Linked DNA regions of Lepisosteus oculatus. The protein of the gene in region 1 purifies or fractionates together with the protein of each later gene. This does not show direct contact. Links are inferred from orthologs where the notes say so. Each region holds a gene or a part of one and is shown on either strand. Other genes may lie near its edges.

The links.
Region 2: the proteins of sugt1 (region 1) and rnf41 purify together in Homo sapiens (affinity purification with mass spectrometry; 3 studies listed by BioGRID and IntAct, with this or other methods). This does not show direct contact. The link is inferred for Lepisosteus oculatus from reciprocal best matches to the Homo sapiens genes SUGT1 and RNF41.

Annotation. Positions count from the first base shown.
Region 1 is NC_090710.1:16,037,992-16,041,950, forward strand, and holds the start of sugt1 (protein SGT1 homolog), read right to left. Parts: upstream 2,962-3,959; 5' UTR 2,848-2,961; coding exon 2,834-2,847; intron 2,727-2,833; coding exon 2,678-2,726; intron 97-2,677; coding exon 6-96; intron 1-5. UniProt on the Homo sapiens protein: May play a role in ubiquitination and subsequent proteasomal degradation of target proteins.
Region 2 is NC_090696.1:15,789,815-15,793,414, reverse strand, and holds the start of rnf41 (E3 ubiquitin-protein ligase NRDP1), read left to right. Parts: upstream 1-860; 5' UTR 861-912; coding exon 913-1,083; intron 1,084-3,564; coding exon 3,565-3,600. UniProt on the Homo sapiens protein: Acts as E3 ubiquitin-protein ligase and regulates the degradation of target proteins. Polyubiquitinates MYD88. Negatively regulates MYD88-dependent production of pro-inflammatory cytokines.

The DNA of each region.
Region 1 (3,959 bases):
CTTACTGCTGTAATTTTGTAGCAGAAGGTGGGTGTAGGATCTCTGACAGTACCATTCTGCATTATCTGATGTTCGTTCCAATACCCCATTCAGCTCCTGGAAGAAAATACAAATGAATGTGCCGAGACATACAAAAACATATGCAGAGCTTAACCTCAGATGCTTCCAAAAGGCTCAACTGGTAAAAGTACTGAATAGAAGCGCAAGTTAATCAGAAACCCTAGATTTGTGTCTGTGCTATGTTATTAAAATTAGTATGAGCAGGACACCCCAAGCCATACAGGACAACTGACTGAGTAAGACTGGTGCTCAGAAAGCTTATAGGCAACAAGATCAGCCTCAGAACAATTGTGAATTTTCACACGTGACTTAAAAACAAAAACTAGTCACTGAAAATATGAAAATAAAAGATTACAAACAGGAATAGGCCCATTTTGCCCATCTAGTCTATTTAGTAGTAAGCAGCTAACTGGATCCAACGATTCAATCTACTCATCCATTTCCCAAACAAGCCAGAGTATGGGCATCATCGACATGGCTGGGCAGCTTGTTCCACACTCCCACAGCTCTTTGGGTAAAGATTTGCCTCTTGTTCTTGAAACCAAAAGCACTTCCACATAGTTTCCATTTGTGTCCCCTGGTTCATATTATCGGGTACCCGCATAATCTTTTCAGTTCAAGACTGAAAAGGGTTAATTCCTTCAGTTTTTCAGCATAGGACATTTCTTAAGGTATGTACAGTATATTAGAAAATGTAAGAAAAATGTCAACAAAGTACACATTGATATTTACAGTAAAATGCAATATAATTTATTGTGGGGGTAATTAAGGCTTAACCACAACCTAGGTACAACGCTATATTTTAAAACTCATCTAACATAAGAGGGGAAAAAGTTTCTGAATTGGTACAGTTGCAAGTATTCAGTAACTCAAGCAAAACAGAAAAACATCAGCGCAACAGACTGGAGACCCAGCGAAGAACAGGTGCAAACAGATTTCACATCTAACGTCCAAGTTTGTGGATGTGAAAAAAAATCAGCTGACCTTATCATGCCATTTACATCTCATAACTTTTTTTTTTACAAGAAATCAGGGATGTATACACAACCTATTAATAAACTAATAACAGGAAAGAGGGCTGACTTTGTTTGGAGAAATGTGCACTTATTTAGATGTGTATAGTGCAGATGTATCAACAGAATTTGATGAATAATACTTCCTTTATGGCTGTATATGTATGATAAGTTACTGATAAGTTACCCCAGCGCCCTGGCCAAAGTTCCTATTGGCCCTTACCAATCATGGCTTCCTAATAATCCCCATCTATGAATTGACTACATTACTCTGCTCTCCTCCCCACTGATAGCTGATGTGTGGTGAGTGTTCTGGCGCACTATGGCTGCTGTCGCATCATCCAGGTGGATGCTGCACATTGGTGGTGGTGGAGGGGAGTCCCCATTACTATTACATGCAAACTATGAACAGAACAAAAAGAAATAAAACGCATTGCTAAAGTCTATCATTTCTATCGTCAGGAGGCTCTTTTCCCATTATCTGTGACCCTGAACGTGTAGAACAAAAATAAACTCTGTAGTTAACGAATTTCTGACACCTTTTTTTAATTATCTGAAGGTTAATGCATGTTGGAAGAAGATGATTAAATCACCATTATTAGCTACAAGGATGAGTGCGAAACCTGAAAGAGCTATCACTGACCTACATGTGGTGAACAATGTGTTTCATACAGAAAAAGGCAAATGTCTGAGAGTATTTAGAAAATACAGGACCAAGGTATGGTAGTAGCATATGATTTAACGAGTTGTCAAAGTGCCAATGCACATTATTTATAGACATTCTAGCACACAAAAATGGTTGGTTTAAAAAAGTTCTCATTCCAATATCCAGCAAAATGCTCAAACCCATCACAGATCCAAATTAAATTAATGGAACCTTCAGTTCAAATTTATGGGTCTTTCCCGATACAAACTGAAGGAGAGGGCAATGATTTTAAATTCCACTTGGAAATCATCACGAAAGGCTCATAACGTTTTCCCTTTGGTATCTTAACTCTCCTACTGTAACTTTTTTTTTATCCACACATTTATATATACACATGTATGTAGAATACAATATTAAAATATTTCCAATGCCAATGTAAAGTACATAGCCCACAGAGGTTTTCAGATTAAATTGACTCCAATGTGCCCAATAAGCACTATTTATTCAGACCGGTTGTACTGGCTGGGGGACAAGGAGATATCAAGTGACTGGACGGTTTGAGGAGCACGCTTAAATACTACATTGACATCTTGAACTGAACTGAATCTAGCAAGATAGGATGATCTGGAATGTCATGTAACGAATCCAAAGGAATCAATACGACAATTTAAAACGGATGTAGGTTTACACGTTTTCTGGGACATTGAGTAATGTTACAAAGAAAAAAAAGTTTAGCTATATGCGGAAAAGTGAAAACATTACGGAGAAAATCGTTGGGCAGACAACTGTTTAGAAGTACCATTTTGACACAGAAAGGCCCAAATCTATTACTAAATGGATAGTAAATTGGCTACGCTTATTCCGACTGTATAAAATAATACCGTAAAGAATCGAATTGAGTACCTAAGAGAAAGACCACGGAAGGAAACAGGCACAGCAACCCAGGGACGCTATTTACCTCTAGAGCTTTCTGAGGATCCTCGTCAATGAGGCTGTCAGGGAAGCTCCTGCAACACAGAAACACCAGTTAACGAGAAAATCGGCTACTCTCAACCTACTCGTTACTCGGCTAATTTAACTGAATGTTGTAGTGAAATATGTACACTGCACTTGCCTTTCGTCTGCCATGAAGTCCTGCCCGAAGTGACGTCCAGAACGTTCTGGATGGGGCTGCTGGGCTGCTCAGATGGAAAAAGACGTGAAAACAACCATAGATATCCACCCTGCGATCTGTGTGACGTCACACAGAGCGACGCAAGAAATCGCTTTTCCTCAAAAACTATAGGTATCCCATAATGCAATAGTATGGCCAAACTATAACGAACTGCAACTAGTTCGTTGCTGCCCAGAAAGGTCAGCAGGTGGGCATGTGCCTTTTTTTACAACGTAAACAGTTAACATGAATATTTGTCTTTTAATTAAACTAGTAACTAGGACAGTAAAGCTCTAGATGTGCTACTGTTTCTAAGAGACAAAAGTTTCAAAATTCTGTGTGGGCTAGTGGTATTGTGACTGACAAAACAGAATAATCGATAACGCGAATACGAATGATAATGGCATACGTACACATTATATAACAGTCATGCTCAACTAGGGTATTACATGCATGGTCACACTTAATATGTTCAGAATGTTATGAAACAATAGTATTATTGGACGTTAAGTAAATGAGATTGAATTTGCTAAACACGAGTAAAGTTCAAAAACAATCCATAAAACTATTAAGATGCCAATCGGTTTAAAATAATGTTGAAAAAAACGAGTGCTTCCGTACGTTGATTTTGTACCCTGTTTTCCGGATAGGGTCTGAGTTGAGGCAACTCTTAGCGGGAATATGCGGGTTTCTCGTTACTGGAAACTGTAAATTAAAGAATCTGTAACAGTAAACAGCTAAATAGAATTGTTCTTTATGTTGACACCTGCTTCGTATTGCTAAGAGTGTAATGAGGAATACGGCTGTAGAGCCAGCAAAACGTAATAGAGTTTGCTGGACCCAAAAACGAAACTAATAATTATCGTATAACTAACGTGTTGGGCAAAAATATATTTATCCATCCATTTTCTGACCGTTTTATGCAAGACGGGGTCGCGGGGGTAACCGGAGCCTATCACTGCAAGCTAAACGAGATCTATCACTTTGAGATTTAATTACAGAGTACAGATTATTCAATAATGTAGTTACCCCCTGTGCTTTGTCAGTTTACTTGCCCCCCAAAACTACAGCCGTATACTCCAAACTC
Region 2 (3,600 bases), on another chromosome or scaffold:
TTTCCCTTGGCCATGCCGTGGTAATGGAGGTTTGCGCATAGCTTGATTGTGTTTGAACTACAAGGCTCAAGAGCTGCTTTGGTAAAAAATCAGCTTGCTGAAGAGACCCTTTGACTCAGGAGCACTTCTCTTGCGTGTCTGTATTGCACACTGTCCCCGTGCTGCACCATGCATTCAAAACCCAGCTAGACTGCTGTGTGCTTGAATCGGGCATTTCTAACCCCCTGCCGCTTTCCGTCCTTCCCAGGTTTGATGGTTTCTGTAATGCGCCATGGGCTATGACGTCACCAGGTTCCAAGGGGAAGTGGACGAGGATCTCTTGTGTCCCATTTGCAGCGGTGTCTTAGAAGAGCCTGTGCAGGTACACCTGGCGATTTCGCGTCCTGTCACACACACTTCCTACTGTGCCCTGAATAAGCCCAGTCCTTTCAGGGGGGAGCTCATAGGATGGCATCCATGGGACAGACATTTATTTGATGTGTTGCTTACTTTGTTTTTTTTAGTAGTGTTTTGTCTGTGCTTAGATAGAAACTGTAAAATAAGTATGTTTGTGTGGTTAGAAGTTGACTGTTGGGACATGCTATCCCAAGCTTATGGTAAAGGCTTTGTTCAACTAGAATTCATTTTCTTTGGAGGAACAAGTAAAGGTTTATTTCATGCTGAAAGAAAGAGACAACATTTCGGCTGTGGAGCCTTCTTCAGGTGTGAAGTTCAGGTCATTTATTTTGGTCTTACTGGGTATTACTTAGTGTCATTCATGACTGAATTGATTTGTTAGATAACTGCCTCACCCTTATTTCTGCTTATTTATCTAGTGACGTAGTTATGTATAATGTTGTGTAAACTAAAGACTGTGGTGTTGAAGTAAAAATATCCAGAGCTTTGCTGTAAAGAGCATACTGGAATCTTGAAATGACTTCTTCACACAGAAATAATGTATTCATTTCAATGAAGTGTCATCATCTTCCCTGTTTAGTCTCAGCTTTATTTTCTGACTCGCCCTGTCCAGGGACCCTCATCCAGTTTCATCAACCAAGATCTGTGCCTGCTTGTCCTCCACTGAGACAGAGTGACAGAAAGAGGGTAGGGAGGAGGTTGAAACAGATGTTTGTGTTGTTCAGGGACATTTGTCTCTGAGCTGGAAGGCTAAAATCCTAGCAAAAAAGTATAATTGTAGTGTTTTGCAATGTGGGATCTTGAGATAACTGAGATCTTAGCTGGTTTCGTAAGACTGAACACCATGTGCAGCCAGGGTGGCCCGGCCTGTTTCTGTACTGCCGCAGACCTACAGATGTTTTTAGAGGAATTTGGCATCCCTTTCAACATCAATACATTCTACATTCATTATATTCAACGGTTGAGTCCCTGTAGCAAGGCCTTGGATGAAACTGAAGCCAAAAACTCTTTCTGTGTCTGGGTTTGGCATAATGGCCACTCATGTTGACGTTTACCTAGTTTTTTAACCCCTGATGAAAAGCCAAGTATATTGTTCCTGTAGAGCACAGCTGAGTGAGCATTAGGGCTGTTTGTGTTCCCTGACAGTTTCTCATCTGGGGGTATTTAATGGCGACCGATCTTTTACTCCACAGTCTAAAATAGCTTCTGTAATCGATTCTATTCTTGTTTTTCTGTGTCTATTGCCTTGGGGCTGTTTACATAAGAGACATTGCACAGACATGTCTTTTAAAAGCATTGCATGCTTTTAAAAGTTAGCATGAATCCCAAAAGACAATTTGACCACAGTTTCTAAAGTGTATTGAAAATCCAAGATGCATTTTTGAAGTATTACTGGTAATAATCTTCTGATGTAAAAACATTTAACTGTACTTTTAACTCCAGGTATGGAAGCTGATTATCGCAAGGGTTTGTGGAGCTTTTAAGGAGTGATGAGAGATGCAGAGGGGAGGGAGTGATGGGGGAGGAGAGAGATGTACTGATCTGCTGTGAGGGGACAAAGTGACAGAGCAAAGGGATGCAAAGATCCCTCCTTTACAATGTGCCTGTTTGCCTGTCTGCACTGCCTTTCTGAGCTGACAATATGAAGAAAGAGGAGGATAGGTAGTGTCCTAATCCTTGTCAGGTTAGGAGAAAGACTATGGACCAGTATTAGTCATGCAGAGTGCTGTTTATACGGAGCTTCAAATGTATTTCCTGAATGCCTTAATTCAGTCACTGCTGTCATATCCGAGGGCCTATGAGGTGAGTTTTTTTTCCCCCCACTGTTTTGCTTTTGAGCTTTCCAGCATAGTGACATGCAGCTACTGTATCCTTAGTGAAATGTTTTGTCTTGGGATACATGACAAGGAAAACCAGATAAGGCTAGTGCTTCTTCGTTCTAGAAGTCTGCTCTATGCATGCACTGCCCGTACCGCATTCATGTTGAAGTGCGGACCCTGGCTCGCTGCTGTTTTTCTCCCAGGCTGCAGACCTGTCTAGTCTGTTTGCTCTTGAGCATGTTGCAGAGGTTTGCGCAGCGAGCTGGCAGCTGTACAGCCAGGATAGGAATCCAATGCTTAGAAGAAACAAGTTTATGCATTTTGTGATCAGAATGTTTTTTTTCACCCACTTTAATCTTATTAGCATTGATCCTTCTTGATATAGCTGTTTCTTAAATTCTGTGATTTGATTGGTCTCTAATATGGGTTTATTAAAAAATAGAACATGTCTCAGCTGAAGTATGACTGGCTTGTATTCTGCTGGCGAACATTCTTAGACAAAAGCTCTGGCCTTGCTTAATTTAAAATTTCTGTACATTATTTGGAGTGGCCCATTACTGAACACTGGTGGTCAGTAGCTGTCAGCTTTACAGCTATTTCTGGAAAATTAAAGGCTTAGTCAATTTCAGTAAACTTTAATTACTCTACTTTTGACAGTCCTACTTGGCTAAACGTACCAATTGAGTCTTCTCAAACATTGACTGTCTTCCAAATTTTAGCTATTGCATTACCAAGGTGGGCAGCCTTGCCTCTGGTACTGTGTGGTTTCAGCTGCACTGAGTTTTGAAATGCTCTGTTGTATTTGCGCATGTCACTTATTCTTCAAGTGCTCCAGGAATGTGATTTTTATACTCTTTCAGAGTCCAATTGATCATATCTGTTCTGTATAGAGCTCTCAATTGGGGCAGGAAGTAAGGGATAATGCAGGTATTTTAGTCCTTAAAAATGCAGAGATTTGAAGCTTGTTAAGGAGCACCATGAATAGGTTTTTCACATACAGAATATTTACTGTTTTTTCTTTAAGGGCAATCATTAAATCAAATGTTGCTTATTTCTTTGGTTGAATTAGAGAAATCATTGTGAATGTGGCATACAGTTACAGTTTATAGAAGTGTTACTTTTCCTAATAAAGTAATTTCAGTGCTTGTAACAAAAAGCCATCAAAATGGAAAGACTCCTATCCCACAGTTTGATTTGTTTCTCAAAAGCTGATTAGCTGAAGTAATGAGTTAAATTCGACTAATAAACAGAAGAGACTGGAGATCCCAAGGAGCAGTACTGTGAAATTCTGCTCGTTATAAAACTGTGCCTAACTTTATCCATTTCATTTCGTATATCCTCTCCACAGGCGCCTCACTGTGAACATGCCTTCTGCAATGCCTGC